Tribolium castaneum: one gene and its partners. The protein of the gene in region 1 purifies or fractionates together with the protein of each later gene. This does not show direct contact. Links are inferred from orthologs where the notes say so. Each region holds a gene or a part of one and is shown on either strand. Other genes may lie near its edges.

Region 1 (7,760 bases):
TTTTACGCAATTTTGAGTCGCTACTATGCCGAACTTACGCAAGCGATTAATACTTACATAAAATTGCACTAATTAATTCTTAAAATAACATTTTTCACAACATTTCAAACACGGATTTGACGTACGAAAAAAATTTGTTTGTTTTGATGGATTCAGGATCGTCATAGCAACGCCAATATGATAGCGTTTATTAATTTTTTCTCACGAAAAAAAAAATGATTTGTGCCGATAATAATCACCTAATCAAATAGAAAAGTGTTTGATTAAAGCTTGTGTTTCTTATTTTTCCCGCAAATTGTTTCAAAAAAGGTTGGTAGTACGGTTTCTCCTAGTGGGGTGGGGTTGGTAATAGTGTGGTCTTATTCGAAAGTGCTTGTTTATTTTATTTTGTGTGTTTTTTTCGTGAAACTGGATTAAAATTGGACAGATAAGAGTATAAGGTAAGTCACAAATAGTTTTGTATTTATTAGTTTTATTACTGTAAGTTCTTGTGCGGTTATGTAACCTCAACAGATTTGGGGGGCTTTAGGATGGGGCCGGTTCAAAATCAATGCTTTATTCACTCTTAAAATTATAGTTGTGCATCTAAAAGTAATATAACAGTTACGTTAGACTATTATTATGATTAACAATCGTCAATGGATTTAATGCATTTTTGGCAGTAAATTATGTACATCTAACGTCCGTTAAAGCAACCGATTATGAGAAAATCAGACAACTATCTTATCTAAACGAACCAAACCGATTCGGTTTTTCTAAAGTTTGAACCGAATTGATTTAAAATGTATTATCATACAATAGGATCAAAGTGACAATACTTACTCATCACCATCCAAACTGTGTTTTATTCTTGTACTAGTTATTAAATTTTAAATCATTCTCTAGCATGTCTAATAACAAGATTTAAACTTCTACTACAATGATATTGTGGCTTATTAACATTGTGCTTATTCACGAAACAAATATTTTCGTATTCAACGAACGAACACACCGAAAAAAGTTCGAGCAATTGGCAAACTGATCATTAATTACATTTATTATAAAAAAAATTGTTTTTATTGAAGACCGACCAGTGAGCAAGAAATGAACTCCAACACCTCACAGGTGGACAATTAATAGGCCCATTAGTAACGCGACGGAAGCGTAAAGTGCGCTACTACTATTGCAACCATCTTCCTCACAAGCGCACACTTCTTGACGACCTCCGAACCCCGACCTTTGATAACATTTGTTCTTGTAATGGGAGTCATCCCAACCACAGGTCCTGATAATACGACTTTCCGGTTGCACTAAAAATAATCATCAAAACTGTTCAAACTCTCGATCTCACTTATTACATCCATTGACTTCAAAGTCAATCACTTGCTTGATTTTCCGGCACAGTTTGTACTTTGTTCCGGGCTCACTTCCAGGGGGCGACATGTTGGGGCAATCCATTTCCAACTCGGTCTTATATTTGGCAATATCGGTGTCGCTACATCTCTTATCCGCGTAACTGTTACACTGGTAACATCTAATGGCGTTACCTAAGAGAAAACGGATGATTTTTTTTTTAAGTTAAAGAGGGTGTGCATTGAAAGTGTTTTCATTTTCAATGAACATAATATAGTCTCTTCGTGGAACACAGATAAATTTGGTACAGAAATAGAATAAATTAGTGTTTATCATTCATGATATGACTTGCGTCAACAAAAACAAATAGTATTCAGATTTTCTCAACTTTATTCTCTCTTTATTCCCAAATGGTACAGCTTATTGATCTTCGAAATGAAATTGCGCGTGCGCATGCACCTTTTTCTTTTTTAAATTAATTACGATTAATGCATTTACATGTTTCTGATTAATAATTTTTTTAGCGAAAGTATTTCTAAAATTGTCTACAATACAAGTAGCGATTTACTTGAATTGGTGGAAAAAATTGGAGGGGTCTCGAAGGGTGCGAACAATAAAAGTAGTTGATTATGTAATCATTACTGTCTCACAAGTGTAGCACTTCACAAGTGTAGCAATAATTAAATAAATTTATGAGAGGCATAAGTTAAATTCGAACTGGAGGGTGTTTTATACTTACTTGATTTCAAACACACTAAAATAAGAAGAAGGGATAGTCCAGTAATGTATTGTAAATGGACCATTATTGGTTTGTGTTAAAAATTTCAAACGAAAAGAATTATTTAATTTAAATAAAATTAGATTATATGATCACGAAATGTTCGGTTTGAGTTCAATATGAAGACTGAATGCAGCTTCAAATAGGGCCTGCGCGAAACCTTGATTCTAACGGAAAGATTCATAAAGTGCGATCTGCGTTTAAGAAAAATATAACGGATTGTTTTTTCAATTTTTATTGATTGATAGTAAATGAACTGAAGTGAAGAAGGGTTACCATTTCCGTAATTACAAAAAAAAAAGTTGGCGTATACGTGTTACTGATTTGCTATGATGTGGCTCGATTAACTCCTACATAGTTTTTTTTTTCCGAAAAAAAAAATGTTTCGTTCGTGTTGCAAAGTCTGCAAAGTTGTGTCTACCCTTTAATTTATTATCCTAATTAGTATTACGAAACCGTTTGATACAATTGGATAATTCACCATATCCGTCCAAATTTGTTGCAATTGATGAAATAACACGTTGAATAACACCATCCATTTTTCCGCTTTGCGAAGGCGAGACAGGAAGTGGCAAATATTCCCTGTGGAATTATTATTTGCAAATCAATTTTATTTGGGTTTTTTAACCTATGAACCGTTGATGTATACCAAGGACGGACCAAGGAGCTCCTTGATGCATACACTCGGGGACGTATTTTGATCGAAAAAGTAATTTAAATGAATTATCCTATTAAGGTCAAGGGAACTGTGTTTACCCTAGGCAAACTAGCTCATACGCTACAAATAAAGCAGGTTAGGAATTTTTTCGTCATTTTGAAGAAATAGACAACTATTGTTGATCTCTTTATTACAATTTCTGTTATTTTAGTGCCAATGCTTCTTATCATACATTTTCTAAATAAAGGTTTTTTCCTCGCATGATAATTAAAAATAGTTATCTATTTGGTTATTACCATAATTTGTTTTTATTTTGTAGTACTTATCGCATTTAAAGTCGGACAGAATATAAAATATTTACACTTTTTTCTTTGTTTCCAAAGTTTTTTTGTAAATTAAATCACAATTTTTGAATGAAAATCGGCTAAAACTTTAGTCGTTAATATCACTGTCTTTTCATTTCTTAAATCGTATTTTTTGGATGGGGTAAGATGGGGTTCAAAGATCATGTTGGCAACCCGTAAAACACTGCGGTCAGTTTCCTGTAGAATTGTCTAGGTGTCGCTTTAGCGAATCATTTCGACATGACGTCATTCTCATTTCTGAAAATCCATGAAAGGGATGACTCATTCATATCGAAAGTTATTACGTCGTATTTGTTAGTATTCTGTAGTATTTCGAGAACAATACTACACAAGAAGTTAAAAGTTATATTCAAGAAATTTTCAAGCCAGTGTTGTGCTACATTGTGAGTCATTACAAATAAAAGCGCTTTGCTTTTGAATGTGGTGTTAAAGTAAGTGTTATAATATTAAAGATTCATTATTTACTTTTTTACCAAGTAATGCTTGAGGGACACCTCACAGACCTTCACTTTGTTTTCTTCTTCGAGAATCTTCATTTCTCGATATTCTTTTGTTTGCTATTGACGTAACTTAACCTAAAATTTCCATTTCAGATTTTATGGAAATTAGTGATTCCGTTTATTATTCACTGTTGGCTTTGGTCGTCGTGCCTGTTTACCTATTTTTCAATCTTTGGTCGTGGTTAGGTTGGGAATTGTACAAAAATAATTGATAAAAAAAATGAGCGGACCCAACTTTGAAAGTCAGCAAAAAAACCTCAGTAACATGAAGAAAAATCTCACTCTTGATCTTAATCAGTCGAAAATGAACATGAACCTATCGTTATCCCCCGACATCACGTCCGTCCTCAAAGTAGATACCCCTGACCTCCTCAAAGTGGACACACCCACCATTGAGAACATCATCTTGGCGAATAATATTTCACACACGCCTTCCCCTTCACTTATCTTCCCGCGGGACGTCACTGTGGAGCAAGAGAAGTTTGCAGGCGGTTTCGTCGAAGCGCTTAATTATCTTCACAATGGCAATTCTCAGCAAGGTTCTGACAGTAATGCCAGTACGGTTTACAGCGAACAGCAGAATTTCATGCCTGTGATCAAAGAGGAGCCCCAAACGGTGCCCAACGTGAATAATACGCCCCCAATGTCTCCTGTCGATATGGAATATCAGGAAAGAATGAAATTGGAGCGAAAGAGACAAAGGAATAGACTCGCAGCCTCTAAATGTCGTTCCCGCAAATTGGAACGAATCTCGAAATTGGAGGATAAAGTCAAACTGTTGAAAAGTGAGAATGTTGAATTGGCTTCAGTGGTCAACCAGTTGAAGGAACACGTGGGGATGCTCAAATTGGAAGTGATGGAACATGTGAATGCTGGCTGTCCCATCATTGCGGGACAGTTTTAAGGATAGAGTACGATTTATATTTTTTTATAAAAATTATACACCAGAGTGATTTTTTTATATTTTGGTGCTGAGATATTCATAGTTGTAGCTTTAATACTGTGACCATATTTTGTATGGAGCCATTTGAATTGTATTATTTACGGTAGATTTAGCGCGATTTGTTTTATTTTATGTAGTTTATCACATTTTTATTAATAAAAATTGTCTCAGTAACAAGTAGTGAATTCATTAAAAAAAATTGGTTAGAATAAAAACAATGGAAAATGGGTAAAGTCTTTAATTAACAATAAATAAAATTCTTTTGTCAAAAGCGACAACATAATTATTCGTGAAACTATATCATCATATCATAATACTGTAAGCGGTCATATTTCTTTGGAAATTAATAATTCTTCTACCCCCATGCGACCCCGATGTCTCCAGACTCTATAACGAGCTAAATCTTTCCTTGTTACCATTCCTATAACCTCATTTGTGTCATTAACAATCGGCAAATGTCGTAAACCGAGAGCTCGGAATAATCTAAACATTCGAGGTAGTGATGCCGACTGAAAAAAAAAAATGATTAAATGCTAATTACTTGTTTTTTTAATTACATGAAGCACCGTATATGGTGACGGATTCATAAACGGCCTCAGATCAATAGAATAAGTTTTTTCAACTTCGGAAACACTCACTTGCTAAAGAATTAAACTTAATTACTTAAAAAGGAAAGGGCGAGAGAAATACCACTACCTCTATTGTTGGATATCGGGGATACTCATCTCGAAAGATTCCCGCATTAATATCCTCCCAAAAGTCCGAATTTTCGTTAAAAATCTTCTTTTTCAAAATAACAATTAATTGTGACCTCAAAACTAACCCTCTTATTCTCCCATACGTGGTAACTTCCGATTGATCAGTTAGTGGCGGATCAACAACCGGAAATCCGTTATAAGTTGTTAATTTCAACAATTCAACAATATGCCCCACATTCTCAACACACTTCAGTGTAACCACCGGATGCGACATCACCTCACTGGCGTAGATATTGTGAACTAGTGGCGGGGGTTCCCATGGGAGTAACGGAACACCACTGAGTTGTATAAGTGTGTCATAAATTCCCTCATTGAAAAAATCACCAGTCCATTTTGCCGCAATTAATGTCAGAATTAGAGGCAAAGCAAAGGAAATGTTTCCTGTCGTTTCCATTATAATCACTGTCAAACTAATTGTCATTCTGACTACGCCTCCTAATTGAGCGGCTGCACCAATCAGGGCGTATTTCCCCGGATGAATGAGAACAGCGTCGGGGATTACTCGAAATAGTCCGACTGAAATAAGCCGACCCCAAGCAGCCCCCGTTAGGAGAGTCGGTATAAAAAGACCATTAGAAGAGGCAAGACCAAAAGTCCATGACGATAAAAAGAAATAAACTAGGACGAAAAAGGCCAGAGAGGTGGCGTTGTGCGTACTTGGGGGATCGTGAAAAAGAGAACGGACTGAGGCTTCAGGAGTTTGAAACCAAATGCTTGCCAAAACATTGTATTGGCCATCTTGACAGTATAACTGACAAAAAAAAAACGAATAGAATCAATTATACTTTAATTTTTTGTTTACCTGAGTTGGATATTTCGTGGGATCTTGTCCCAAAGGCTTGCAATCATTCAGTAAAAACATCATCAGGAAACCTAAAGTGGCACTAACAGCTGCGACAATACAAGCTTCAATTACTTTTAACCATCTTTTTCGTATATATCTGTAAGTTTTTTTTATCATTTATTGTGAGCAAAACGTGATATTACCTCATTCGAAAAACTGATAATTTGTAATTGATGTGATTCCATAACGCCCCCGATAATCCACCTAAAGCCCCCATTACGAGGAAAATTGGTAATTCGTACACTTTATAACTAAAGTTTTCAAATTTGCCTAAATTCAAAAGTCCTGGATAGCTTAAATCACCGGGAACTCCGTGATAAGTTGATAAAACTACGTTTAGAGTAAAGGTGCTTATCACGGAAGCGAAAAAAGTGCGCCATGTTAGGCTCTGATTCCAAAAGCTTGTACCTTCTTCCAAACTAAAAAGCACTCCACCTAAAATCGGGCGAAAATTGTAGAATTTATATTTATATAAGTTTAAATTACTCCAGTTGTTTTTACAGTTTTATTTTTTTGACTTGAGAAATATCTCGGACTACATTTGATATAATTTTTTTATTACCAACTGGTGCTCCGAAAGCTGCCGAAACTCCCGCAGCGGCGCCCCCAGAGACAAAGTCCCGTTTTTCGTGATCTTCCCGAAAAAATTTAAATATTTTGAAATCTCGCCTAAACGTTGTACTTTTCCCTTGAGAAAGTCCCGCTGCAACGACAGCTCCTGAATGAATCATTGGTCCTTCCTAAAAGCGCACTTTATGTTTTCTACTTTTATGTTGAAGAAAGATTACTTTGCCCCCAGCTAAACCACCCACAACTGAACACACAACGCCTACACTTTTTACAAATAGTGTTTTTATTCGTACGACGCGGGGTATTTTAACCCCATTGAGGTAACATTTCACTTGAGGAATTCCACTACCAGCAGCAATAGGCTCAACGTAAGCAACTAGAGTTGAGCCTATTAGGACTGGGATTACGTTGTATAACACCCAGAAGAAGTAGGGGATGTGGAGTTTCCCCTGTGTGACGTATTCGTCCACATCTAGAATTTTTTACAATCGGATTTAAATAGTTTGAGAAAAATTAATTCTCTACATTTGCTTAATGAGGCATATTTCAGTTGTGATAATTCTTCTATTGATATATCTATGGCACAAGCAATTAACGCGGTTACCACTCCAATTAAGAGGAAAATAAACCATCTCGCTAAACTTTTTTTCACAATAAATCTATAACCTTTTTTTCTCTCTTCATCCAAAAGTAAATAATTCTCACACGTGTCGTAATCAAGGCTCTAAAAAAATCCAGTAGCAGTGTTTTGTAACCAAATGTGATAATTTACTTCATATTTCGCCGATAACACGTTCAAAGACCCTGTTTCAATTTTTTCAGAACTAGTTTGTACCCTCCGTCTGATTGACGATAACAATTCGGTATTTTCAGGTTCTGTCACAATCAGTTCTTCTTGACTCAACGAATTGACCGATGGCAAATTCTATAAGCTCCCATCATGACTCTTAACACCCTCATTATAGAAAAAACTTACCCTAAATCTGGTGGCTCGAATTTCACCATCCTCATG
Region 2 (8,081 bases), on another chromosome or scaffold:
TTTCCTAGAAATACAAAGCAGAGAGGTCGAATAAATAAAAATACACAATGAGTAAAGAGTAAAAACGCGTTTATTGCAAAAAATGTTTCTACTGGTATCTTTACTATAACTGGTAATATTGAAATGTTAAACTTTAAGACGAATTCCCTACACATGTAAGTACACGCCACGCCACTGTTTTCTGCCAACACCCCTAATTTAAAGATTGGACTCGTCCGAGACGAGTTTTCGTCTCTGCGCACTCCTACCACCGTGGACGATCTGTCATTTCGCGGACTCTATTCTGTGGTTAAATGTCAAAACTTTTCCAAGGTCGTATTTTTTACCGGCATTTTCTTCGATTAAAAAATACGAAATTTCAATAGGATGTCCGATATAAAATCATTCTTGCACCAGTTCTGCCAGAAGACCAAGAAAGAGCAGCCCCAGTTTGAAGTCCGGCCAACCGGTAAGCCGCAGCCCCTTTTCACCCTTTACTAATTTCCCCAAAGGCCCCAAACACCGCCAGAGATTCCTCTGCGAAGTCCGCATCGATGGCTACAGTTACGTGGGGGCTGGCAATTCCACCAACAAAAAGGACGCCCAAAGCAACGCCGCCCGCGATTTCGTCAGTTACCTCGTCCGGGAAGGCATTGTTAACCCCGCCGACGTGCCCGACTTCCAGGATGCGCCTCCAGGTCCAAACACCGTTCCGATGAATCGGGGGCCCGCCCCTTCGGTGTTTCGACAGGGAATGGGGCCCTCGTCGTTTGGGGAGGCCTACAGGCCTCTGGGGCGCGATCACGACGATTGGCATTACATGAACAGGGCGCAGGAACAGAAGAGTGTGGAGGATGCAGAGGATTTGGATGTGAATGCTCAGATTCATGGCAATTGGACTGTGGAGAATGCAAAGTCAAAGCTGCATCAGTTTATGCAAAGCAATAAAATACACGCGGATTATAAGTATACGCAAGTGGGGCCAGACCATTCCAGGTTGGTATTGAGAGAGTGAGTAGATGGAAGTTTGTGTGGGGGGAGGAGAGAGAGAAAAATAGGCACAGTAGAAAAACTGAAAAATAATAAAATAATAGAGCATAACCAAGAACAGTGACAGAATAATTTATTTTGTTTATTGTTTACTCACGTTTTTCTTCTGGCCTTGGAAATTTAACATTTCCCCTGCACTGTTTATTTTAAATATTTTTTGTATAAGAGAACGAGAATAAAAAATAAAGAAAGAACCGTAATAATAAAATAAATATACATAATAAAAAATACCAAAAATAGAAAAAAAAACGAAAAGAAGGAAAAAATGTTGTTTTTTTTTTTTTTTAATTAAATCTGCAATAGAGAATGAGGCACCAATAGAAGAAATAATAAAAAAATGTAAGGAGTAAAGACAGATAAGCAAAGCCAAGAACAGTGGATAGAATAATTTATTTTCATTATTATTTTATCCATTCACGATTTTTTTTTCTGGCTTTGAAAAAACCAACATTTCTGCCAGAAGGATTATTGTTATTGTTTGACTATTTATGGTTTGAAAATTTTTAGAAAAAAATGAAAGATTGAAGAAATTAAAATTTTTCTATCTTTTTTATTTTTTTCTGCAGAGAAAAAATAGTAGAGGTGGAAAAGCAGAACTAAGTACAGTGGATAGAATAATTTATTTCGTTTATTTACCAAAAAATTCACGATTTTCTTTCTGGAAAGAAGGAAGTTGTGAATGCGTTTATGTTTTATTTAACCAATTGAATGGCATTTTGATAATAGAGTTACTGGTTTGATTAAAAAATTAGTAACTTTGAGGTCATTTTTTTATTTATGAAACTTCTGTTTTACTTCTTGCAGTAGTTTCTTAAATAATAATTTTCCACTGCAGCTACCGTGGGAACAACTCAAATATTTTACTGTTCTTGGTTCTGTTTTTCCTCCAAGGTACAATATAAAAACTCTGCATTATACACTTGTAAGTATACTTTTAATCCCCTATTTCTCAACTGTAATGCTCCCATTTCTTAGGACTTTTGTGGCCGAAATGAGCTTCTACGTCAAGCAACTCGGACGTACAATAACCGGTCGTGATTCCGGTTCAAATAAGCAAACCGCTAGTAAAAGTTGCGCTCTTTCCATCATTCGCCAACTGTTCCATCTCGGTGTAATTGAAGCATTTTCCGGAACACTTAAAAAAGAGAAAACCGGCAGTGAAATGAAACCTTTCGATGTAAAAATCTCCCCAGATTTACAAAAACAAATCAAAGATTGCCTCGACACTTTGAATATCACTCCGGTTGAGGTTAAACCGGAAAGCGAAAGCCAACCGGTTTCACTTTTGAGCAATCACATTTTGGACGACTTTCAAGCCTCCAAACCGATAGCTGCAGGAGTTGTCCCATGGTCGCCTCCTCAACAAAATTGGAATCCTTGGACTGGGTGCAACATTGATGAGGGCCCCCTTGCCAACGCCAACTTGGACGAGTTGAGCGAACATTTGGCCGAAGAAACCAAACAAAAATTGAATCATGACGTTGATTTGAAAGCTATCATTAGTGAGAGACAAGGTTTGCCAGTGTATTCAATGAAGGGGCAAATTATGGCCGCAATTAACGATAATCCCGTTATCATAATTAAGGGAAATACCGGATGCGGTATGTAACTAATAACATGGAACGCCCTGTATCTTTGTATATATGGTGTTGTAGGTAAGACTACACAAGTGTGTCAGTACATTCTCGAGGATTATATTATGTCGGGTCAAGGTGCCTGGTGCAATATTTGTATAACACAGCCTCGGAGAATTTCGGCTGTTTCCGTTTCGGAACGAGTGGCCAATGAACGTTGCGAAGCATTGGGACAATCGGTTGGGTATTCGGTTCGGTTTGAATCGGTTCTTCCCCGACCTTATGGTTCCATTATGTTTTGTACGGTTGGCGTGCTTTTGAAGAAGTTGGAAAATGGGCTCAGAGGCGTCAGTCATGTGATTGTCGACGAAATACACGAAAGGGACGTCAATAGTGACTTTATTATGGTAATAACCATGATAATTATTTGTTCGTTTGATGCGTTATCACGAGTTTTTTTGTGACAACTGTCTGGGAAATTAAACTCAATGCTTGGGGTTTTTTGAAAGCTTCAGCTAAAATTGCGGAAAAATTACAAAATTAAATCGAAAATTAGATTAAGTTATGGTTGAAACGTAATTATTTCGCAAAATTTTTTAATAAAGTAGCCGAAAAATTATTATAACTGGACTTTAAATTATTCTTATGTTATTTTTATTTCTGTGTATAATACTGACGTCTTTGGTATCAGTTTTATTACTATATCTGTATGAATTGATAGGAATAAGTTATTGTTATTATTATTATTTAAACTATCTTTGCACAAAAATTTATGTTTTTTTGTGAGTTTAGAAAAAATTGGGATAATTTCAGGTGGTTTTACGCGACATGATCCACACCTACCCAGACTTGCGCGTAATTCTAATGTCGGCAACAATTGACACGAGTTTATTTTCGAAATATTTCAACAATTGTCCAGTTGTTGAAATCGCCGGCCGAACTTATCCCGTCCAGCAGTACTTCCTGGAGGACTGTGTCGAACTCACCGGTTTTGTGCCACCTACAGAAACACGCAAACGTAAGGCTGGAGGAGGCGGTGGTGGTGGAGGCGACGATGACGAAACAACCATTGGAGACGACGGCGATGAAAACATGAACAAAATAATCGACCCAAAATTCAGTACTCAAACCAGAAATGCAATGGCTCGAATGAGCGAACGCGAAGTGAGCTTCGAATTGATGGAAGCCTTGCTCAAATACATCAAATCGCAAGAAATTCCGGGAGCTGTTCTAGTTTTTCTCCCCGGTTGGAACCTGATTTTTGCAATGATGCGCCACTTGCAACAGCATCCAGTGTTTGGAGGGGCTGCCTATAGGGTGCTGCCGTTGCATTCGCAGATTCCACGAGAGGATCAAAGACGTGTCTTTGAGCCGGTGCCCCCTCATGTCACCAAAGTTATTCTGGCAACAAATATTGCCGAAACTTCCATCACAATTAATGATGTAGTGTTTGTGATTGATAGTTGCAAGGCCAAGATTAAATTGTTCACTTCGCATAATAATATGACGAGTTATGCGACTGTTTGGGCCTCAAGGACTAATCTCGAGCAGAGGAAAGGACGTGCAGGGAGAGTCAGACCGGGGTTTTGTTTCCATTTGTGTTCGAAGGCACGCTTTGATAAACTGGACGAACATATGACACCGGAAATGTTCCGAACACCGCTGCATGAATTGGCACTGAGTATTAAGTTGTTAAAGTTGGGCTCGATTGGGCATTTTTTGAGCAAGGCGATCGAGCCACCGCCACTAGATGCCGTCATTGAAGCAGAGGTAAATTATTTCTGTAGTTTTAATTTTTTAATTATTGTTTTTTAAGGTTTTGTTACGTGAGATGAAATGTTTGGACAGTAACGATGAGCTGACACCACTTGGTCGCATCATTGCCAAACTTCCGATTGAACCACGATTGGGGAAAATGATGGTTCTGGGTTGCATTTTTATGTGTGGTGGTCCCTTGGCCACAATGGCTGCTAATTCGTCCACATTTCCCGAAATTTTCACACTTGATATGGGCCAGAGACGTTTAAGCCACCACCAGAAGGCTCTGGCTGGGGATAGGTGCTCTGATCACGTCGCCATGTTGACAGCTTTTGAGGTACATACAGTATTTTTTAATGTTTTAATGAAATATTATTTGTAGTTGTGGGATCAAGCACGTGCTGGTGGCGAAGAAGCCGAGCAACGTTTCTGCGAATACAAAGGCATAAGTATGCCGACAATGCGTGTCACGTGGGAGGCCAAACACCAATTGCAACAAATTCTCAATTCGGTGGGTTTCCCCGAAGAGACTTTATCACCGATTCCTATGGATACAGTTGGCCCTGATCCGAAATTGGACGTTGTGATGGCATTAATGTGTTATGGTCTTTATCCAAATGTTTGTTATCACAAAGAGAAACGAAAAGTTTTGACAACCGAGAGCAAGGCCGCCTTGATACATAAAACATCAGTCAATTGCAGTAACTTTGAACAAACGTTCCCGTATCCATTTTTTGTTTTTGGGGAGAAAATACGGACAAGGGCCGTTTCGTGTAAACAAATGAGTATGGTGACGCCGATTCATTTGTTATTGTTTGGTTCGAGAAAAATTGATTGGGTAATTCAAACTAAACAATTGAATTGCAAGTGTGAGTTGATTTGATTTTGTTTAGGTTGATGGTGTTGTGCGACTTGATAATTGGATTAATTTGAATATGGACCCAGAAGTGGCGGCCCTTATTGTGGCCCTAAGGCCGGCCCTGGAAAGTTTAGTTGTTCGGGCGTCGCAAGAACCGGAACAAATACTCGAAATGTCACCAGGAGATCTCAAAGTAATTCATAAAAATATCTAGACTTAAATTTTTCGAGCGCTATATTTGGCTTTTTGCAGTTTGTTGCAACAATTAAAGAGCTGTGCAAGTTGCACGCTGGGAGTTACCAAATCGAGAGGGCTAGACCCCAAATGCAACAATCGAGGCGTCCACCAAGGGGGCACTCTTTGGGTTTTCAAGGACCACCACCAAAGTTTTTCAGAGGGGGGTCTCGAGGGGGCTTTGGAGATAATCGGGGTGGTTTTCGAGGGGGTTTTGATGGGGGCCATGGATTTGGGGGAAGAGGGGGTTTCAGAGGCAGGGGCGGATTTCCAAGAGGTCGTGGTTTCAGAGGCTATAGTAATTATTAATTGTATCGGTAGACATAAATGTGTTTGATCATCTCGGTATTCAAAAATTAAAAATTTTAACAAAATAAATATTAGTTTTTTCTTCTCGAACTTGAGGCCTTGGCTCACTAGATTCACTACAAAGAACAAAACAATATATATTTTTTGTTGAGTTTGTTAATAAAATTTAAATTTGAAGATTTGGCTAAATGACTACTACCGTAAAAACTAACACAACTCTAGGAAACTAACAACTTAAAGCTTACGCTTAAATATAAAAAATGTGACGACCCTGCCAGGATTCGAACCTGGAATCTTCTGATCCGTAGTCAGACGCGTTATCCGTTGCGCCACAGGGCCTGTAACACTCCCCTCTGTTTCTGATCATTTACCTACCCAACGTTACCAAGTCAATTTAATTGCTCTGATAGTTGCTAATTTGATTGGTGGTGCGGTTGAAATTGACCTCTCCCTTAATTATATTACTAGAATGCTTCAACAAAACATGTTGAATAGAAAAAAGTTCAAATAAAATCATAAAAAAAATCTGTCTCGTATTGACGTATAATTGGTTGCCTGCATATCACTATCACGTAATAGTGCAAACACCAAAATCTCAACTCTTAGCAATGGTATTCCCTTTAATTAAACCAGCTGGTGTGAAAACAGCCTCAAAACCATCAATTTCGGTAAGATTGAGTTATTTTTGCCCCAATCCAAGGTCACGTCATAAAATTGGCAACGTTCGTTATGTCAATTACGTCAACTGTCAATCAATTAAGATGCCCATTTATTTTCATCGCCCTAAAAGATGATTTTGTAAGCAAAAAGTGTTAGTAAGTCCTTGACAAAAACTCAAAATTGGATATTTTAGTAGTTAGTGTAGAATGGAGGCTGCGGGCGAATCGCGGGAAGTCCCCATAACAGTCTTGAGGCCCAAAACCAAGGCACTGTTATGCGACCTGTTGAACCCCCAGATGTTCATGCCAGGCCCTAATGGGGTGCTCCGGTGAGTACAGTTTTAGTATAGTTACAGTTTGTTGATTGGGGGGCTTAGGTATTGGAGAGGTTTGGCTGGCCTGTGCCAGATTAGCCCCAATTATGAGGCGAGTCTTGTCAACGATTCAAACCCCACAGATAAAGTGTTACAGTTGTGGTATGAAAAAGACCCCCAACGTTGTACTGTACAACAATTGTTGTTATTTTTAGAAGAGATGGACCGGTTTGATGTTGCGGACGATGTCTTGGATTTGATCGGTAAATTAATTTCACTATGATTTCGATTAATTTGTGCGAATTTTGTTGTTTTGTAGATGAGGACATTAAATTGTACAAAGCCAATCCACAAGGCTATGAACTCAAGCCTCTCTATTCCGAAGCTGATAAATACATTATTACAACAGATGACGTGATAAGGATTAATGAAGGCCGGGATTTGGAAATTTACGATGCGTTTTTATTGTACGACCATGATGATATTGAATTTGCCATAGAATTGTTGGACAGAATGGAGAAGGAATATGGAATGAAGTTCTGCGTTAAAGACCGCGATTTGGTCGGAGGTGGCTTAGAAATGGACAAAATGATTAAATTAATAACACATCGGTGTAACCGTTTGGTTGTTATTCTTTCAGATTCGTTTTTTAAAAGCTCAGCCAATGAGTATTATTTAAGTTTTGCACACGCTTATGGAATTGGTAACAACAGTTAAAAACATGCATTTTTTATGTTTAATTGTTGTTTTTACACAGAAAGTCAAAGGAAAATTATTCCTTGCATTTATAAAAATCTAACAACGAATCCGCCACATATGAAGTGTCTCTTCACTTTGGATTTTCAACGAATGGCTGCTTTCAATGTGTGGGATAAGTTACGTGATTCGATCAGAGTGGTCAGTGCGGAAAAATTCAAAGTTAACAGGTATTGCCTACTTGATTTTTGTTACTTTGAATAAAATTTTTGATCAAGTAGACTTTGACTGAAATTAAGTTGGTAACATTTGCTATCGTCTGTTTTTAAGGTAAGGCTGTTTTTTCACTAACACACTAAATATTTGATTTTTGGGTTGATTTCCTGCAATTTTTTGCATATTTTTGTGTTGAATGTTCGAAAAAGTAAAAAATAAACCCATTTTCTAATCATTTCGGCGATTTCTGGATTCAATTTACCATTTACTACATAATTATTGAACAGAATGTTCGGGGAAATACTCAAACGACTTAAGTTCAGTGTTGGCAACTTAATTTCAGTCATAGACCACTTCGATTAGAGTTCAATTAATTCAATGCGAGTGTAATTGCAGGTCCCAATCCGACAATGGTCAAGTGTTGAGGTCCGCT
Region 3 (7,984 bases), on another chromosome or scaffold:
AGGATGAGCCTAAGAAAAAATCGCGTGAAGACTGGCGGAAAGCCAAGGAGCTCGAAGAGGCGCGTAAGGCGGGCACAGCCCCTGCGGCTGTGGACGAGGAGGGAAAAGACATAAACCCCCACATCCCGCAATACATTGCCACAGCCCCGTGGTACTATGGCACCTCGGGCCCCACCCTCAAGCACCAGAGGCCCCAAGACGACAAACAGGAGGATTTCTCCAAGTTGGACGAGTGGTACAAGCGAGGGGTCGACACGGTAAGTTAGCTGCACCTCTTATGCCATTATATTTATTTTTTATTTAGTCCAAAGTTGTGACGAAATTCCGCAAAGGCGCTTGCGAGAATTGCGGTGCCATGACCCACAAGCGCAAGGACTGCATGGAGCGGCCCCGCAAAGTGGGGGCCAAATTCTCGGGGGCGAAAATAGCCGCGGATGAGTTCATCCAGAAAAAATTAAATTTGAGTTACGACGGGAAACGGGACAGGTGGAGCGGTTACGACCCGTCCGAGCACAAGGCAGTGATAGAGGAGTTCCAAAAAGTTGAAGAAGCGAAGCGGCAGTTAAAAGCCGATAAACTCAACGCAAATAATGAAAGTGACGAGGAGTTGGATGAGGACAAATACGTGGACGAGGTGGACATGCCGGGGACCAAAGTCGACAGCAAGCAGCGGATCACAGTCAGGAATTTGCGAATTCGGGAAGATACGGCCAAGTATTTGCGAAATTTGGACCCGAATTCGGCGTATTACGACCCGAAAACGCGCTCAATGAGGGAAAATCCGAACCCGAATAAGGATGATAATTACGCGGGGGAGAATTTTGTGAAATTTACCGGCGATACGACTAAACATGCGTCCGCACAGTTGTTTGCGTGGGAGGCGTATGAGAGAGGAGTTGATGTTCACTTGTTGGCGGAACCCACCAAGTTGGAGTTGCTCCAAAAGGAGTATGAGAAGAAGAAGGAACAGTTCAAGTCAAAGGTTCAAGGGAGTATTTTGGAGAAGTACGGAGGGGAGGAGCATCTGGAGGCGCCCCCGAAGTCGCTACTTTTGGCACAGACTGAAGATTACGTGGAGTATTCACGCTCCGGTAAAATTATAAAAGGGCAGGAGAAGGAAGTCATCAAGTCAAAATATGAGGAGGATGTCTATATTAATAATCACACTTCGGTTTGGGGGTCGTTCTGGCGAGGGGGGCAATGGGGCTACAAGTGTTGCCACTCGTTTGTCAAGGTTTGTATTTTTATTTTGGATTAAATAGTGTTTAAACCATATTTTCGTTATTTTTTTTAACAGAATTCGTATTGTTTGGGAGAAGCTGGCCGTAACCAGGAGGCCAACAAACCACCAGAAGTTGTACCTGAACCAGAGGAAGAAAAAGAATCAAGTGAGAGTTCATCATCCGAGTCGAGTTCCGACACAGAAGCGAAACACAAGTCCGAGAAAAACAAGAAAAAGAAGAACAAGAGAAAGAAAAACAAAGAGAAGAAAAAACTGAAACAAAAAGAAGAGAAGGACAAGTTAAAAGAGGCCCTCAAAGCGGAAGAAGAGCACCAAAAGCGAGCCGAGAGTTTACTGTCAATAGACGAGAGGAAGCGTCCTTACAACAGCATGTACGAAGTGAAGAAGCCCTCAGAGGAGGAGATTGAAGCTTACTATTTGAAGAGGAGGCGAGAGGAAGACCCAATGAATCAATTTATGTAATAACAAGAATATATTTATTTGTAATAATACAATGAAAATAAAAAATTAGCGTCGTGTTAATTGGAGTACGACCCCCTTATCGACCATTTTCCCGACAAGTCTTGCCGTATTCCTGGCATCATGCAATCCGCAATGTTCAGTCCCTTCAAAAGTCAGTCCTAGTTCGGCCAAAGCGCCAGAAAGTCCAATAAACGGGCGTCTGATGTAGCGCTTGAACAGTGCTCTAATATCAATCCATTTGCGGTACATTTTCTCAATTCTAATATTCTTCCGGATGCACTCCTTTCGGAGACAGGTCCCCAAATCCCAGTCCGACCAAGTGGCAAAAGCGCACGTTTTTGCCGCCTGACTTTCGCCGTTTGGGAAATCCATGTCATATAATCTCATTTTTTCGGCAACCCAACGCGAAAACAGAAGCAAACAAGCTTGAAGGGGGACCCCGTTATCAACTTGGTGTTGCTGTATTCCTGTAAAAAATCATCAGTGGGGCTTGGGGCACAATGTTTTTTACCTGTGAGCTCGGTACAAAAGTCGCTCAATTTGGGATTCTCGACTGGCATTACGTATTGCTGGAACTCTGCGATTATTTTAGCGTTTTTTACGTCGTAAAGAACGACCGGAAATTCGATTATTTCGGCCGGATTTTTTCTCGGGTCGCCGTTACTCCAGCAAGTGGCTTCAAAGTCAAGGACGAGGAGGTAGTCAAAAGGCTGGGGAGTCGTGGCCTTAGCGGTTGAATAAATTACTTCTAAAGCACCCAGTTTTCTGAAATTGCAATAATAAGCTTATCTTTAATTTAATTATAATTTTTCTCACCGGGCCAACTCTCGAGTGCTCATTTTACTAAAATATTTCACATGTAAGGTACAAAAAACTTAATCTAAAAGTGGAGCACTTGGTCAAAGAAAGTCTCACATAACCTCAATAAACAAAATAAAGAAAATAGCAGAAATACAGGTGATATGGCATTAGTACGCCTCGATGGTACCGCTTTTTAAGTTACAAAACCCTTTAGCGGAAAACATGGACAACACAAATTGTGTCTTAATTAACTGAATAAAAAATGTATTTTGAATTTGCCGCCATTTTTTTTCCACCAAGTCACAAAAACTAAGGTGATTCCACTCCCCAATAATTTTTTTATCTAATACAGTTATCAGCGCAAATTAAAGGCTCGCACTTTTTCTGAGCATTTTATTTAAATACTGTCGATTGCATACAAAATAGACCTAAAGATAAGGCGTTATCTACGAATATCCAACCTTTCCAGAAACATTTTTTGTGCGTTAGGAGCGCCTCCTGGCGTTTGTCACTCCTGTCGGCCCGGCAGACCTGTCAAAAATCAATTTTGTGATTTGTTGATTTTTGGATTTTCAACACTAAAGTTCCACATAATCGAAAGACGAAACGTATACGATTTTTAAACCACCCTCAACCAAATCACCCCACACTCAAACCACCCATATTTTGTGTCACCATCAAGTATGGCTTTATCTCTAACGTGTAAAAAGTTACTCAGGTTATCCGTCTCCAGCAGATACTTTTTCAGACCATGCTCTTCAGCCTGCCCGGAAAAAGTAGGTTTTATCATTAGAAGCAATGCAATTGAGTGATTTGCGTTCGTTTCGTTTTAGAAAGGCTTAGTCTTGGGCGTGTACAGTGATGATGAATGTGAAGGGTTGGAGCTAACCCCCGCTGCTGAAAAGTACAACCAGAAGTGTCAAGGCAGGCTTTTAGAACAAATTAAACTGTAAGTAGCGTCATAGCGTTTTTATTGCATTAGAGGACAAGTCCAAGCGGAATTAAACATTACATAATGTGAAAACATGGGAGTAATTAATGAAACTTGGCACAAAATAGAAAGCTTTATCGTTTTTTATACACGTAGCGATTATTTTATTGTCTTGGCCCTTTTCGTGCAAATTGAAAAACCTGACCTGAAACTTGATCCCGTCAGTTTAACCAATCCAGTAGTATTGAGTGTTTTCAAGTAACAATTTAGGCGATTTCTGTCCCCGTTTCAGGTTTTCGGGTCAGGAACCGTCCGAATTGTCGCTCCTCAATACTACTCCAGTTCTTGTTTCAGGTCGATGTTTTTCTCTTAACTACCTCTAAGTCGTCAAAATGGCTTCAAGCCGCGACGGTCGTAGTAGTTCCGCCTCTTCGCACAGTAGTTCGAACGTGCCGACAAATCGCTCGTCGATTCGCACCCCAAAGCGTCAGCGTTCGACAGCCGGGGGCGGCTCCTTCGAGGAGAAAACGACCGATTTTTCCTGCCCCGTCTGCTTCAACCTGATCGAGGAGGCTTACATTACGAAATGTGGCCACACGTTCTGCTACACCTGCATTTTAAAATCGATCGAAGCCCTCAAACGCTGCCCCAAATGCAACGCCCCGGTCACCGGCGAAGACATGATCTTCCCGAACTTCCTCCTCAACGAACTGATCAGAAAGCACAAGACTCGCTTGAACAACTTCGAGGCTTTGGGCTTGAACCGCGACAGTTCGGGGGAGTTCGGGACGTCGGCCGACGGTTTACGGGATTTTGTGGCAACGGAATCGCAGAATTTAACGTTGCCGGACGTTAACGTAATGTTGGAGGTTCTGACGCAACGGAAGCAACTCCTGGAGGCGGAGTCGTGTGCCGCGCAAAACCGCCTCCTTTTGGAGTTTTTGAAGCACTTGCTTAAGCAAAAGAAGGAGCGGCAGGCGCAGATTATCAAGGAGATTGCGATTATTGAGCATGACATTGAGGAGGTTTACAATAAGTTGAAGGAGGTGCATAGCAAGTGCCCGACTTTGGAGGATGTGGAGCGGACGGTGGCGTCGGCGGCGGACAATGCCGATGTCAGTGCGATGAAGAAGGAAATGATCGATTTGATTGATACTATAGGTAGTTCGACTGGTCGCAAAGATGACACGACGAATCCCGACGCCCCGCTTCGGCTAGGTTCGACCTCGCTGGCGATGCGCCGGCGGCGGATGCACGCCCACTTTGACGACTTCGTCGACTGTTACTTCACCTCACGCTCCAAAGACTTGTTCTTCGGCAAAGACGGGGTCGATAAGACTAAGACTACTATTAATACGGGTCTCGACGAATTCCGGGAGAATTTGATCAAATTCTCGCGCTATAACTCGCTCCGGGTCCTCGCAACGTTGAACTACTCGAGTGATTTGTTCAACAATTCGACCATAGTCTCGAGTATCGAATTCGATAAGGATAACGAGTTCCTGGCGATTGCTGGAGTGACGAAAAAGATCAAAGTTTTCGATTACGGTGCTGTGATTAAGGATACGGTCGATATACACTATCCCTGTATTGAAATGCTCTCCAAGTCGAAAATCTCGTGCGTGAGTTGGAACACGTACCATAAGAGTATTCTGGCGAGTAGTGATTACGAAGGGACTGTGACGATTTGGGACGCTTCGACCGGTCAGCGCACCAAGACCTACCAAGAGCATGAGAAGCGCTGTTGGAGTGTTGATTTCAATGAGGTTGATACTCGGTTGATCGCCTCGGGTTCGGACGATGCGCGCGTTAAGTTATACTCGCTCAACGGTGAGCACTCGATCGCGACTCTCGAAGCCAAAGCGAACGTTTGTTGTGTTAAGTTCAATCCGAGGAGTTCTTGTCACTTAGCGTTCGGTAGCGCTGATCATTGTGTTCATTACTACGACTTGAGGAACATGAAGGAGGCGGTGGCCGTGTTCAAGGGCCACAAGAAGGCAGTGAGTTACGTCAAGTTTCTCAATAGTGAGGATATCGTGTCGGCGTCGACCGACTCGCAGCTTAAATTGTGGAATGTTAATACTCCGTATTGCCTTCGGTCGTTTGTCGGACACATTAACGAGAAGAATTTTATCGGATTGGCGACGGACGGCGATTATGTCGCCTGCGGCTCGGAGAATAACGCCATGTATATTTATTACAAAGGCTTGAGTAAAAAGTTGTTTAGTTATAAGTTTGAAGCGATTCAAGGGGTCTTGGATCAGGAAAGGCGGGAGGATGATATGAACGAATTCGTTTCGGCTGTTTGCTGGAAGCAGAATTCGAATGTTGTCGTTGCGGCGAACAGTCAAGGGATTATTAATATTTTGGAACTGGTTTAGGTGATAGTCTAGCACGGCATTAGGACAATCAACTGTTCTTGGCATATCCCGGATTGTAAATTTCGTTACAGGATGTGCACAGGAAAAATCGGTTTAATAACTAAAACTTGGATGGGGGACTATTTTATTTTTTACGTACAGGGGGCGAAAATATTTACTGTTTTTATAGCGTTACTATCTCGAAACTTAATAGTCGCACAGAGATCAGCGTCCGCTATTAAATCCCTTATTTTTATCTCTATGCATGTGAATTTTTTCATAATTTTTATATCCTTCGTTATTGAAATTTTTAGTTTTTTTTTACGGATTTTTTGTACAAAAAAATATTTAAGCAACTTTTCTTTTAAAATGAGAAATTTTATTCTTTGCAGCGACTTAATTAATTTTAATTATCAGGAATTGTAGATACGTATAATATGTATTTGGAATAATAGTAAATATTTTCATTAAGTACTGCCTGTATAAATAGGGAGTACCGTGCCTGCAGTAAAATTTGTGACTAAAAAATGTTCGAGTCTGTTGGTTAATTGAAGGCATGGTGGCTTAGTCCCGAAATTTATTGGTGTTACCGCTTATAATTTCCTATAACAATTTTGGAAATAGCAAGGCTATTTTATTAAAAATCGAAACACGAGAAATAGCTGCCGTATTTGTCTATTGCTTCGAGAATTGGGGTAGGAATTGAAGTGTTCCCTCTAGTGAGTGCCCTTGTTTCGTAGCGCCGCTCTCAACAAATATCATTCTCCCAGCAAAAAAGTCTCCACCTCATAATGCCCAAGTGTGCCAAATTTCAGAGTTACATACGCACAATTTAGCGAATAGTATAATACGTGTGAGACAAAACCAGTCGTAGTTCGATGTACACAAGACTTCACAAGTATAAAACCAAAAAAAAAATTGCTCATTAAATTATAGCGTAAGTATTTTTAGCAATATATGTGCCAATTTTGTGTTGTAATCATGTTATTCTTAGTGTGTAGTCTGGCCCACTAGTGATTTGGTTAAGGAAAAAGGCAGTTGTTACTATGTTTTACTCCATAGATGTGTTGCTCTTGTTTACTTCGAATGTTGAATTGAGAGTATACCCATATATTTTTTGTAGAATTTTTTCGAGCTTCAAATTGAGAAAATATAAGTTTGGAGTATTTTGTGTATATATGTGCATAGAAAAAAGAATATAATGTAAAAAACCGGCATTTTACTGCCCGAAAAACCGTTTTATATTTTTTAAAATGAACTAAAATGTGATTGAATTTCCTCGGTTGATTTGCGGTAATTGTATTGCACTATATTTGTACGTGTCGTCTGGAGAGTCAATGTTCATTGTGATCATATAGATTTCACGATATAGTCTTTCTCTCTATAACAAAAATTGTTGAATTAATTTGTGATCCATTTAGGTAAATGTTTTTATTGTTGTAAGTAGTTGTATAATAGCAATAAAGTTTCTCATTGCCCAAAAACCGATTTTAATTCCTCGCATTACAGCACAGGTAATAAAGTAAAAGCGGGCAAAACGTTCGTGTTTTGGGGCCTTGAACCTGACTTTCAATCCGTCGCTATCGTGGGACTGGGCAAAAAAACTAAACCAAGCGACGAACTTGAATTAATTTCGGAGGAACGGGAATCCGTCCGAATTGCAGCTGCCGGTATTTATTGATTTTACGAAAAAATTGCATTTGTTGGTTTCAGCCGCTTGTAGGGCCTTGGACGCAGCCGGGGTTAAAAAAATACAAGTTGAAAGCTTAGGCGATGCCGAGGCGTCAGCCGAGGGCTCGAAGCTCGCCACTTGGAAATTCCAAGACTTTAAAACAAAAAAAGACACCTTACCTGAAATATTCCTCCACCAATCAAATCCCGGCGATTGTGACCAATGGAATCGCGGAACGGTCAAGGCAGAGGCCCAAAATATCGCCCGGCGACTCACTGATACCCCCTCAAATCATATGACACCAACAATTTTTGCCGAAAGAGCTCTCGAATTGTCGAAAAATTTAGGGATTTCGGTCGAAGTCAGGGATAAAAACTGGGCCGAAAGCGAGAAAATGGGGGCTTTCCTGGCCGTTGCTCAAGGCTCGCTCGAGCCCCCGAAATTTCTCGAACTGTCGTACAAAAACAGTGACTCGAACCCGTTTGTTTTGGTGGGTAAAGGGGTGACTTTCGATA

What was found.
Region 2: the proteins of Jra (region 1) and mle purify together in Homo sapiens (affinity purification with mass spectrometry; 3 studies listed by BioGRID and IntAct, with this or other methods). This does not show direct contact. The link is inferred for Tribolium castaneum from reciprocal best matches to the Homo sapiens genes JUN and DHX9.
Region 3: the proteins of Jra (region 1) and E3 ubiquitin-protein ligase COP1 purify together in Homo sapiens (affinity purification with western blotting; 9 studies listed by BioGRID and IntAct, counting the BioPlex papers as one, with this or other methods). This does not show direct contact. The link is inferred for Tribolium castaneum from reciprocal best matches to the Homo sapiens genes JUN and COP1.

The regions. Positions count from the first base shown.
Region 1 is NC_087399.1:143,620-151,379, reverse strand, and holds Jra (Jun-related antigen), read left to right. Parts: upstream 1-3,420; 5' UTR 3,421-3,564; intron 3,565-3,612; coding exon of another isoform or gene 3,613-3,685; intron 3,686-3,726; coding exon of another isoform or gene 3,727-3,845; 5' UTR 3,846-3,853; coding exon 3,854-4,537; 3' UTR 4,538-4,753; downstream 4,754-7,760. Other genes in the region: uncharacterized protein LOC663924, read right to left, coding at 1,099-1,289, 1,338-1,526, 2,072-2,135; phosphatidylinositol N-acetylglucosaminyltransferase subunit Y-like, read left to right, coding at 3,613-3,685, 3,727-3,845; ClC-b (H(+)/Cl(-) exchange transporter 7), read right to left, coding at 4,903-5,085, 5,134-5,217, 5,273-6,085, 6,137-6,275, 6,322-6,613, 6,741-6,918, 6,967-7,220, 7,274-7,472 and 2 more. UniProt on the Homo sapiens protein: Transcription factor that recognizes and binds to the AP-1 consensus motif 5'-TGA[GC]TCA-3'.
Region 2 is NC_087394.1:36,800,512-36,808,592, forward strand, and holds the end of mle (dosage compensation regulator), read left to right. Parts: 5' UTR 1-312; intron 313-365; 5' UTR 366-366; coding exon 367-448; intron 449-491; coding exon 492-975; intron 976-1,864; exon of another isoform or gene 1,865-1,951; intron 1,952-2,004; coding exon 2,005-2,630; intron 2,631-2,684; coding exon 2,685-3,010; intron 3,011-3,416; coding exon 3,417-4,373; intron 4,374-4,419; coding exon 4,420-4,698; intron 4,699-4,743; coding exon 4,744-5,199; intron 5,200-5,254; coding exon 5,255-5,413; intron 5,414-5,472; coding exon 5,473-5,763; 3' UTR 5,764-5,940; downstream 5,941-8,081. Other genes in the region: myeloid differentiation primary response protein MyD88, read left to right, coding at 6,630-6,751, 6,800-6,999, 7,056-7,439, 7,494-7,662, 8,045-8,081. UniProt on the Homo sapiens protein: Multifunctional ATP-dependent nucleic acid helicase that unwinds DNA and RNA in a 3' to 5' direction and that plays important roles in many processes, such as DNA replication, transcriptional activation, post-transcriptional RNA regulation, mRNA translation and RNA-mediated gene silencing.
Region 3 is NC_087397.1:2,835,094-2,843,077, forward strand, and holds E3 ubiquitin-protein ligase COP1, read left to right. Parts: upstream 1-3,282; intron 3,283-3,339; coding exon of another isoform or gene 3,340-3,455; intron 3,456-3,791; 5' UTR 3,792-3,829; coding exon 3,830-5,818; 3' UTR 5,819-7,281; downstream 7,282-7,984. Other genes in the region: pre-mRNA-splicing factor Slu7, read left to right, coding at 1-257, 305-1,234, 1,298-1,705. UniProt on the Homo sapiens protein: E3 ubiquitin-protein ligase that mediates ubiquitination and subsequent proteasomal degradation of target proteins.